3 linked regions of the Schizosaccharomyces pombe genome follow. The gene in region 1 interacts genetically with each later gene. Each region holds a gene or a part of one and is shown on either strand. Other genes may lie near its edges.

Region 1 (4,132 bases):
ACTATGCATTGGAAATTCCTATAAATAGTCGATGAAGTCTGCGAAACAAGGGAGGTAAACAGACTTAGTGGGTATTAAAATGTTGGTCAATCTTCTGCCGTCTTGATTTAAAAGCACTTCTCTTTTACTATTGTAAGACGGAATATGCATGCAAGATCGCTTTAGTTGGTTGAATGTCTCTTTCTTTGTGTTGTGGTTTGTTCGTTTTTTTCTAATTTGGAATATTATAAGAAACGTTGTTTTCTTGCAACATTTTGAAATGGTCATTCAAAAAGCTGGATTCGGTACCACTTTTCTTTTTACCTTGTCTTCTAAGCTCTGTTAAATTTCTTGATGGGGTCCAGTTAAACCAACCCCCAAGTTGGTTTATGTGAGCCTTGTCTCTTTTTTGGATGAATAGTAGCTTAGATAGTGATAGTTATTATTATGACTGATGGAATCTACTTAAAAATGGATTCCATTTTTTGTCTACTGTAATTGAATTCTTTTTGGTACACTTTTTGGCTGCATTGTTATCCTTGAAAGCACTTACAATGTTTAAACTTTGCGAATGACTGAAACAGAAAAGAAATAAAACGACTGTACCTGAACTATTGTTGAAACAATATTAAAACGTATTCCTGAAACAGATTAAACTACATTAAATTTTGTTAATGAATTAAACGTGAAACTTGAAAGTTTGATGCGAAACAAAACCCGCAGTTTGTTTAAACGCTTATTTGTGATTAAAATTGATGAACCAGTTTAAACTATGAAAGTGTTTGAAAACGTGCTGAAACCATTCGTTAAACCCTGCAAACCAACATAAAAAAAATTGAAAATAAACAATAACCACAGCAAGCTAATTCAATTCCAACAATGGTATGTTGCATTGGTCTTCGGTTGTGCTGTGCTCCCTCTTTTTTTGAGCATAGTTAAAACCATTAATACTATTTAAACATTTCTCTTTAAAAAAGAGAAGAGAATAGCAACACATAGAATTTCCAAATTCAACATGCCTTCAAATTTGAAATCGCAAGGAACAGCTATTAATGAATGAAACGAGTTAAATTGAAATAAATCAAACACTATAAAGATTATTATTCTATTTCTTGCTTAAAACACACTTTAAGGAATTGAAATTTTTCACGTAAAATGTTGATGAACTGGCTTTAAATTTACATGCAAGTCTTGATTGTGAAATGATGCGTTGGAAGCATGAATTGGTATTTTCTTTTTTAAAAAAAGCAATGAAAAGTTTGAAAAAGGCAATAAAACTTGGAGGTGGTTGGACTTTGCCGATTTCACGAAGTTTTTCTTTGCTGTTTGAAACTCAACCAAATAAATTAAACAGTGGTAGCAGCCCCAATTAAACTGAAAATCTATCAGTTATATGTTCATGAATGTGTAAAAGCAGCAGAACAGACAGATCCCAGCATTTTTCCCTTCTCTTTGCACTACATTATGAGAGGGATAACTGATATTCTGTAATGTAGATCTGAGAAAACGAAGGCAAAGCTAATCCCGAATGTAAGGTTTAGGGAGCTACTTGTTTTCATCCTTTCGAACGTAAGGCTCATAAAGTATCATTAATTAAACGTAAGAATAATAAATTTCAAACAAATTAGTTGTTCGCTATACCTACTTTTGTTGTGCAGCATTCCCATCTTCTTATCAAGTTTCACTTGATAACCGCTTCGAAGATTCAGACTTCATCCTTCTTAAACCACTACCGCCATCGCATATATATATTTATATACAAAGCAAGTTTACATTATTGTAGCTTTTATTAAACTGCTCGTTCAATTCTACTAAAAAAGGGATCCACTGATTTTGTTACAAGACTGACCATTAAATTCATTGCTATGCAAACCAAAATTTTTGCACGTCTTGCTGGCATTGGTCGGGCTCGGTTTGTTGGTACGATGCCCGACAAGACCAAATTCATCAGTAAATCTGGAACGTATCCACAAGGTTTCAGCTTAAATGGTATTGCTTCCGGCGTAAAAGCCAATGGAAAAAAGGATTTAGCCATTTTATTTTCCTCTCGACCATGCAACGCCGCAGCCGTCTTTACTAAGAATGCATTTCAAGCTGCTCCAGTTCAAGTTTCACGCCAAACTCTGAACGGCTGTGGCGGTAAAGATATTCACTGTGTCGTGTTCAATAGCGGTTGCGCTAACGCTGTTACTGGTGAGGGCGGTTTGATGGATGCCCAACTCATTACCGCCGAAGCTGATAATTTGACTCGTCCACATTGGACTTCGTGGACTGAGAATTCAGAGGAATTTCCCTCGTCGTTGGTGATGTCGACTGGTGTTATTGGACAACGTTTGAAGTTAGACAAGATTCAAAGCGGTTTGGAACACGCGGTTGAAGACCTCGGGTCCACTCATGAATACTGGATGAGAGCAGCTGAGGCCATTTGCACTACGGATACTTTCCCTAAACTCGTTTCCCGTGAACTTAGTATTGCAGGCAAAGTCTACAGGATTGCAGGTTTTGCCAAGGGCGCAGGTATGATCAATCCCAACTTGGCCACTCTTTTAGGTTTGTTTGTTACAGATGCCCCAATCTCAGTTGATGCAGTCCGATCTATACTTCGTCATGCAATTAACAACAGTTTCAATTCTATCAGTATTGATGGTGATACGAGTACAAATGATACAATTGCCTTCCTTGCAAATGGAGCTGCTGGTGGATCCGAGATTACCAAGTCTTCCCCTGCATACAAGGAGATTCGTGATGCTGTAACGGATATTGCTCAACAACTTGCAAAGCTGGTTGTCCGTGACGGTGAGGGTGCTACGAAATTCGTTACTGTGCAAGTCAGAGGCGCTAGATCAGAGAAAGACGCTGCGTTGGTGGCATCAACCATTAGTAACTCTGCATTGGTGAAAACGGCATTCTTTGGTGAGGACGCTAACTGGGGTCGTATTTTGTGTGCCGTCGGTTATTCAGGTGCTGCTGTCAATCCTCCTGCTACGACCGTTAGTTTTATTCCTGCAGACGGAACTGAACCATTGAAGCTTTTAGTAAATGGTGAACCACAAAATGTCGATGAGACCCGTGCTAGCGAAATATTATCGCAAGACGAACTCACTGTAGACGTTGATCTTGGATGTGGTCCTTATGCCAAAACAAATTGGACTTGCGATTTTTCGTATGACTATGTTCGTATTAATGCTGATTATCGCAGTTAAAAAAGAACAGTGGTCAGTTACCAAATTAACCAAGAGTGAGCTCTACGCTTTGATACCAAGAAAGCTTCATGTTTTTACAGCTTTAAACTCTTCAATTCAATTTGATGAACATACACGACGTTCGTTTACAATACGTGTCTAACAGAAAAAAAGGATTGCTGAGATGCATTCATTAACAAAAAAGTATGTATAAAAAGCTTTGCTTGCTTATGGTAGAAGTTTGCAATTTTAAGCGAAAGTTCATTATGCATGTAACATCAATCATAGTATATCATAATAACATGAATCTTTTCATTCGATTGCCTGCCTTAATTGAAAGGAGTTCAAGCCAGGATTAAATAAGAAGTGCATGCTAAAAATCAGGAGGTTTGTATTCCTCAACAAATGTTTGTAGCTTATCCCCTGTAACTATTTCGTCAAAATTTTTTAATAATATACCGCATTCCCTGCCTTTTTTAATACTGGTGACTTCTTCTTTTAAGTGTTTTAGACTGTCAATTTCACCAGACCAAATAATTTTGTCATTACGTACTAAACGTATTTTATGGGATTTTTCAATAGTTCCATTAGTAACTCGACAACCAGCGACATGAACAACTGCTCTTTTAGCTTTGATGTCGAAGATTGCACTAATAATAGCTTCTCCGGTAACACGCTGAACCAATATGGGCGGTAATCGCAAAGCAAAAAGTTTCCGTACATCATCCATTAAATGATAAATAACGTTGTGAAACAACAGCTTTACATTGTGTTTTTCTGCTAAACGAAAAGTAGCTTTCGGAACGGAAACACCGAACGATATAATGATGGCATCGGATGTTTCAGCTCTCTCAATATCAGTTTCGGTTACTGGACCCACCCCAGTATACAAGACTCGAGATTTTACCTTTCCAAATTGTAATGGTTTGAGATAATCTGACAGGGCCTCCATGGACCCAGTGTCTTCACAT
Region 2 (3,840 bases), 1.5 Mb from region 1:
ACCTGGATCTGTAAACAAAACCCCCAAGTTAGGGTCGCCAGAAAAAAATGGGGTGGTTAGGAATATTACAAACCACCAACGCAAACGACAAATAGAGAGCAAGAGCCCAACAAATTTTGACCACCGAGGATTTAATATGAAAATCGGTAACCTTCCTTACAGTCCAAATCAATTAAAAAAAATAATAATGTTTGGTAAAAACTCGTCGTAGTAGCACAGTAACTTAATTCACAGGGGTCAGGAATATAAATTGGTCAATGTGTGTACTTTATGTAATTGCGATACAGGAAGAAGGAAAAAAAATTTTCTCACTTATTTAATCACCGTTGTGTTTTCCTTGTGCTGCTTTTTTTTATAATTGGCTTACCTAGAGGAATTAGTAAAAATAGAGATAAATTCGGAAGTCCGAGGTGGCCGAGATATTTATTTATTTCACTTACTTAGCGGACAAAATAAAATCCTTCTCTAGTGCGCACGCGGAAATTAGCTTACCAAGCAAAGTTGATCACTATTTCACCTAGCCGTCCCTTTCCAAAGTCCGAGTCGCAGGGGCAGCTAAAAAGCGCAACGCTGGAACTCTGGATGGTCGGATGATAGAAAAAGTTGTAATTGGAGGCACATTGACTTCGGGTAAAACAGATTCCGAAATGGCGAGAGCAGCACTTTGCCATCCGCCGGCTGCAACTGAATAGCAAGTTCCTGAAAAGTGAATTTGATGTGGAATGGAAACGATGTTGCGTGCGGTGCGTGGATCAGAAACAATGCTGGGATCAGATGTCTGTTCTTGCAAATGAAGAGAACCCAAACCTAAACACCCACAATAACGTAATTCAACACCCCACGACCATATGGAATGATCGCTTGTTAAGTAAAGATGATGATGATCGCCATGCGCCAATTGCTTAATTCCTCGGTTCTGGAGAAAGTCGTGGATAACCGGGTCATCATCGACCTGCTTGGTATTAGCATGACCCATGTAAACAGTATTGCCATCGTCCGATAAACATGTGAAAGTTTCAAAGCTGCCTGCTAAATGCCAACCTTGATGGGGGTCGTGCGAAGCGAACCTCTTCAATTCTCTTCCTAGCGTGTGTTGTGTAGCTTGGTCCAGGTCTAAACGAAACACGGCGCCTTTTTTCTGAGGTGATGCGACAGTATACACTAGGAATCCTGCGCAGTGAACATAATCGTTCAGCACGAATTCCTTCATCGATGCCTCTGGCTGGAAAAGTTGCGCTTCACTTTCTCGTCCAGTGTGCCAGACAAGAAAGCCAATGCCCGGCACATACGCCGAATGCGAGTCCCAACCTGATTTAAAATTAGCAATTCTTCCGCGATAGGCTGATAGCATATTTTGTTCATCTGTCAAGCAAATTCGTGTTTTTAGAGATACTTGATACAAGTGTCCCGTCTCACCGAGTGCAAGACAAAACTCTCGACCAGCATGGATTTTCACAATTGGCTCTAAATCTCTCATCAATTCGGGCCCAACATTGTTTGGTACCCCCGTAACATATAAATTTCCGTTTTCATTTAATAAATACATCCCATAACCTCTAAATTCCGCATAGGGAATAGTTAGTCATTGTAGTGCAGTCAAATAAATTCCTGTATCTATGCGCTTACCCAACTTGAACCTGAATAGTAGAACGAACGTCCTTCCCAGTCAATGCACCAGGACGATCTCGAGGATACTGATTTGTATTGACGACGCGGCCCAAATAGTTTCTTATCTGTTGCCCCCATGAGTAAGCGTATCCTCGGTCTTTCCATACAGCATAGGGTCTTTTGTAATTATCATCAACAACTGGGACTACATTGGTGAGACCTTGGACCCGTGCACAAAATCGATGCCAAATTGTTTTGTCGTCAAAAACATACGAAAGTGACTTGCATGTTTCTGACAAATGAACTATATCTTTATAATCAAGATATGTACTAATTTCTAGCAATATATCGTAAGAAAGCTCCAGGAATGGTGATTTAGCCATAATGAATCTCGCATGGGTAGTAGTATATGAATACCTCTGAATATATACAAGGGAAACGGTGTTGAAATACGTCAAAAGCACATGTTTTCTGCAACTCTTAATAACTAGATACAATTGTATTATTTACAATTAATAAATGATAATAAAGAAAGGTCTATGAAACGAAGGTGTAGTCATTGCACGAATCAATTTCAAAGTCTATCAGCATAACGAAGCAGATTTAAGAGTAAATGATCGGCTTTATAAAAACCAATTGAGTAATTCTTGTCTGTTTTAAAGAAGAAAGCTTCTGAACTGCCCCTTTTTTTTTAAGCATTCATTGCACACCCTTTCCAATGAAGCATTGATCATACCAAAATTGTAAATTAAGGAAAAAGAAAAATAAGAGTATCAAAAATAAAGAAGTAGGGTATATAAAAGACGGCTCCTACTACAGAAAAAAAGACCACGCGCACAAGTAAAATATTGCTTTATAAAAACCAAGCCACAGTAGCTCAGAGTTCTTGACAGCGCCTTGCGATTGAAAAATTCTTGGAAATTCTAAATTAATTTTTGTTTTCCAATAGCTTTTTTTGTTGTTGCTCATCAATACCCAAGAGGTAAAGAGCGTTTTGCAAAGATGGAAGATTGATTTTCGAATCAGCCTAATTAAAAAAAAAAATCGAGTTAGTAAGATCATTAAAAACATAAATTTGTAAAAAAATTTCGAACATACCAATAATTGAACTTTGGGTTTAGCTTTGAACGCAATTCCTAAACCGGATTCGGCCATCATGACCAAATCGTTAGCTCCGTCCCCAACAGCCATCGTTTCGAGCTTATTTAAACCCAACTCTTCCCTCTTTTCACGCAAAATGGAAGCTTTTCGTTGTCCATCTACAATTGCACCTTGAACTTTTCCAGTGAGGAATTTACCATCATCGGAAAATTCAAGTACATTGGCATATGCATAGTCCAAGTCCAGTTGTCCCTTGACATATTCAGCCATTGGAACAAATCCACCACTAGCGACAACAAGAGTCGCACCCATTTGCTTAAGGCAATGACAAAGCTGTTTAGCTCCTGGAGTGAAAGTAATTTTGCCAATGACTTTATTTATGACATCGACGCTCAACCCTTGTAGTAGAGAAACGCGACGACGAAGTGATTCTTGAAAGTCAATTTCCCCATTCATTGCAAGAGATGTAATCGTAGCAACCTCTTTCTGGATGCCTGCTTCTGCCGCGAGCTCGTCAATACACTCTTGTTGAATCAACGTCGAGTCCATGTCAAATACTACAAGCTTCTTTTTAGTGGAAAATGTTGCTTCACTCAAGCAATTACAGTCTACATTCTCAGTAGCAGAAATGCGGTTACAAGCGTCTTTAGCATCTTCAAACGTTCCTTTAAGTTGGCCTGATACTAAAGTCCACTGTTCCCCCAGAGAACGAGTCTTCCCATCTCTAAACAAGGAGGAAATCTGTTCAAGCACATTTGGACGATTTGAGGAAACAACTATGGCTGCGTTGACCATGCTTATTAAAAGGTATGAGTGGGTTTGCTAAATTTTCTAAGTTGAAAAGCGTTGTTTTCGGCAAGTCCCATTTACTAATTACTCGGCTATTGATTAAGCTTAACGTTAAACGACAACAAGTACTAGGTCAATTTAAGTTATTTGAAAATCTCAAACAAGCTTATTTTTTGTTATTGTTTACAAATTTATCATTATCTTCAAAATGCTGTATAAATTGTGAAGTTGGTAAAGTGGTGCCTAAACTCCGTTTTCAAACACAGGTTAATAAGCAAATATTTTTTTTATACATTAAAGCAATAAAGCAAGAAATCATAACTAAGAAGATGTTTGGAAATA
Region 3 (3,804 bases), 1.4 Mb from region 1:
TTGCACAAAATAAGTCAAAGCTTATTCAACGTGATTTACAGAAAGTACTTGACTATAAGTTGGGTATCCTTCAATCTCTAAAAAATGATGGACCAAATGGCCCCAGCGCTTCCGCCATTGATAATGACTTAAAAATGCTGGAACAACAACTTAATGTTTTGGGACGTCACTTGGAAGGTCGGAAGTCTCAAGTGGCTAAGCTAGAGGAAAGGCTTCGTAGTCTGTCTTAACAAAATCTCGTTTATAAAGCTCATCATCTCAAATACTTGAGTCTTTGGATGTTTTCTTGGAAAATCGACGAAGGTACACTCTTTCTTTCTTTCTTTATTGGGCTTAATAAACTGTTCAAACAGGAAGAGGGAATTGGATTGTAAAATCATTCATTAATGTCCATCATTATATTTTTTGGTTTAATCGATACAAAACTTTTGAATTAGTATAAAAGGAGGAACTTATTCAGCTTTTATAATAAATACTCACTCTCTTTTTATAACAATCTAAAACCTCCTTGAGGTAAATTTATTACCCTGCTGTTAAGAAGAAACACAAGCGAATTCAGAACTATCAACTGGGTAAGAAGAAAAGATAATATAATAAAAACAACAAGCTTCGATTTATAATCTTCTTTTTCTAAAAAAAGTGCACACTATAATGTCTCCCAAAGCCTTCGTAACTCATACGCGTTTCATGAAAAGGATACATCCACAATCCTATTGTTCGTAAGGAGAAAAAATTGAAGAATTTATGCAAAAGAAAGCTCCCTTGTGATTAATATCGTTTACGGTTTAAGGACGACGCTTTGAAAACAACCGTTTTGATGCCCAACCTACAAGAGCTGCAACTGACACCACTGCACCAGCTACCACAACCATTCCAATGTATCCTTCTAAAAACGGGTTAGTAATGATTCTTTTCATTATTTATAACGCATCTTTCTAACATAAACACAACATTCATGCATATGTGATACCTCATTAAGTTTTATTAAAATAAACATACCTTTTGTAACAGCATCGTAAAGACGGTTTTTTAGCTTTAAAGCCTCTGGGCTATTTGGATCTTTGGATAACAACATATTGAGATAACGACGGGATTCTTCATACTGCTTCAATTTGTAATGGGACAAAGCAATGTAGTAGAGGCATTCCAAACGCCTTTCCGGTGAATCTTTGTAAATGCTGCAGAACAAAGATAATCCCTGTTGTACATGCTGTGTAGAATCTGAGCGTACCAATGCCCAAGCAAGGTTAAATTTGGTTTGTAAAGTAATCAGAGGTTGTTCTGCATCGTATTGTTCCTTGATTTGTAGAAACTCATCAACAGAAATAATTGAATCAATAGCAGAAGGATCAGCGAGGCGAAGGGTGTGTTTTTCAGTCATGATGTCGTTATTGCTTCCTATATTGGTCTTTGAATGTGCCTTAATTATTTTAAAGGCGGATTAATATAAATAAACGGAAAATGTTGAAAAAACTACAGTCACTTGAAAAAAAATTCAACAACTCAAATATAAAAGAAGAAAAAAAGGGTTGAGTATGATGCAAAAATGCTAAATTATCAATGTAAACAGCCAATTCCAATTATAAAGGATTTGAGGCGCAAATGAGTGAACTACAAGGATAATGGATTTCCAAAGCAATAGAAAAGTCCAGAAATCCGATTTAGTAAGAATATGGATATGCTTTTTCCACAAAAATTTGAAACAGAGAAGGAATGAAATGAAGATTCGTTTGTGAACGCCATCGCCAACAATTTATGTAAGGAAGAACTTAAGGATATGGCAAAACATTTCACAAAATATTTATTACAAATTGTGGCGTATTATGTAATTCACATTTGCGAAACGTACCGATAATAAAAGCAGTGTAAAGTAGCTTGTAACATGCCAGCTTTGTACTTAAGGCCTAACCAACATTTTGCCTAAGACTTGATATACTTGTAAAGGTGGTATATTCAAATATATTGAAAAAGTTCTTGATTTGTCTATAAAAAAAGTATTAAAAGGACTATTCTTTGTACCATAATTTTGGAAAGAGCAATTCAATCCAAAAAAAATAAGTTCTTGAGATATACCCAAGTTTCCTTTAAATAATGCAAAATGTACGTATTTCATCATTGAGAAGAGAATTATTTTGTTAGGAATTTCCCTCTTTTTAACTGTGTTACATGGTAAACTAATGAGCTTTGGGCATATTAGTTAGCTAGTCAAATACAAGAGAAAGCGGTTGATTCACAGCAACAACTGAGGACCATAATGGTACAGATTGCTGCCAAGGAACGGGCACTAAAAATAAGTGAATTAGCCAAAAAAGAGTTAGAGGATGTTGGAGAAGATAAGGCCGTATATACTTCTCTTGGAAAGATGTAAGTGTCATAAAATGAAACATGTATTTTTATTTTCTTTTCTATAAAAATAGGGAAAGAATACGGAATTAGCAAAAACAGCACTTTTGGAATGGAATTGACCGTACTGTCAATCTATATGTAAAGTCATTTACTAACTGTTTATTTACAGGTTTATGAAATCCGATTTGGCTTCCGTACGTACACATTTGGACGCAGAAATGGCAAGTTTAAGAGAAGATATTGAAGCACTACAAAAGAAACAAACATATCACGAAACAACGGCCTCAAATGCTGAGCAGCATTTACAAAAGATAAAAGAGTCGATTTCTTAAAACATCAATTATAATCATCTCATTGGTAAATTGGATTATGGGATTGGAAAGTTTATGACTTTCTTTTTTATCTTTAAAACTGTAGAATTAAAGTAAATTTGTTCCATTAATCTTCTTGCATTTCTAACAAATACTGGGGCATTTGTGAGCCGAAATTTTGATCACTGTGACTGCGCTTTTGTGTATGGATACTTAAATTTCAAGCTTGAAGACTTGTGAATTTAGTATATGTTATACTTTTAAGGTAAGTTTTCTACTGTTAGAATTGACGTTTGGAAAAGTAAATGGAGAAAGGATTTCTTTGATGATTCCAAAAAAGCATAGTTCAACTGAGCATCGTATGCTGAAACTTTTTCCATCTGATTTGCACGTCAGTCTGAGATTTCTCGTTCCCTTTTGTTTCTTTCTTTTTCAACGTCTGTTTGTCTGACTTTTGTGTTGGCTGTTTTACTGACCCATACTTTAAGGTGTTCTATATTTTTTCAAGGATATCATTAACTGTGTGGAAGCTGTTTTGTTCTCCATTAACTTCTGATTTCTTTTTGAGAGATGCACAAGGAATAGTTTATAGCTTACTTATAGTTTATGAATAAAATTATCCGAAACGAACTGTCACTAATCATTGTTTAACAAAGTATGTAGTAATGTATTAATATTAACTATGGCGACAATATTAGGACTTGAAGGTCTCTCATATCAGATGTTTGTTTCTGAATTAAAATAATAATTCTATATACGAATTGTGAAGTTGCCGTTAAATTATGATGGTAATTTGCTGTAGTTCTAGTTAAAGTCATTAATGTAGATCCTGCAGTTCAACTTTTTGATAAGATCTGCAGACAACTTTATATACAATAAATTTAGCTAAATAAAAGCAAAAAGGATTAAACACCATCGGTAAAAAAAAATAACTTTATTAGTTTATGGTCTATTGTACCCATACACTGATCAAGAAGTAATTTAAACATATAACATAAATTTTCACCTATGAAAGCAGTCTAATAAACACAAAATAACATTACTAATTATATGCCAAGAAGTTTAAAAAAAATTTAAAACAAAAAAAAAAAGAAAAACTGAACAATGGAACCTCAAATGTCGAGACTCATGATACTAATAAAAAATT

The links. Genes that interact genetically often act in the same process or in processes that back each other up.
Region 2: mutations in aga1 (region 1) and pof9 together harm fitness more than expected from each alone (negative genetic interaction), as found in Schizosaccharomyces pombe (one large-scale study listed by BioGRID).
Region 3: mutations in aga1 (region 1) and pfd1 together harm fitness more than expected from each alone (negative genetic interaction), as found in Schizosaccharomyces pombe (one large-scale study listed by BioGRID).

Annotation. Positions count from the first base shown.
Region 1 is NC_003423.3:335,851-339,982, reverse strand, and holds aga1 (glutamate N-acetyltransferase), read left to right. Parts: upstream 1-1,702; 5' UTR 1,703-1,844; coding exon 1,845-3,182; 3' UTR 3,183-3,534; downstream 3,535-4,132. Other genes in the region: mti2 (translation initiation factor IF-2Mt), read right to left, coding at 3,535-4,132.
Region 2 is NC_003423.3:1,869,998-1,873,837, reverse strand, and holds pof9 (F-box protein Pof9), read right to left. Parts: upstream 2,006-3,840; 5' UTR 1,992-2,005; coding exon 1,627-1,991; exon of another isoform or gene 1,557-1,626; coding exon 518-1,556; downstream 1-517. Other genes in the region: phosphoserine phosphatase Ser2, read right to left, coding at 2,537-2,635, 2,707-3,504.
Region 3 is NC_003423.3:1,755,384-1,759,187, reverse strand, and holds pfd1 (prefoldin subunit 1), read left to right. Parts: upstream 1-1,929; 5' UTR 1,930-2,091; coding exon 2,092-2,100; exon of another isoform or gene 2,101-2,197; coding exon 2,198-2,364; exon of another isoform or gene 2,365-2,515; coding exon 2,516-2,678; 3' UTR 2,679-2,922; intron 2,923-2,965; exon of another isoform or gene 2,966-3,066; intron 3,067-3,145; 3' UTR 3,146-3,287; downstream 3,288-3,804. Other genes in the region: actin cortical patch component End3, read left to right, coding at 1-230; protein Fis1, read right to left, coding at 786-886, 1,000-1,381.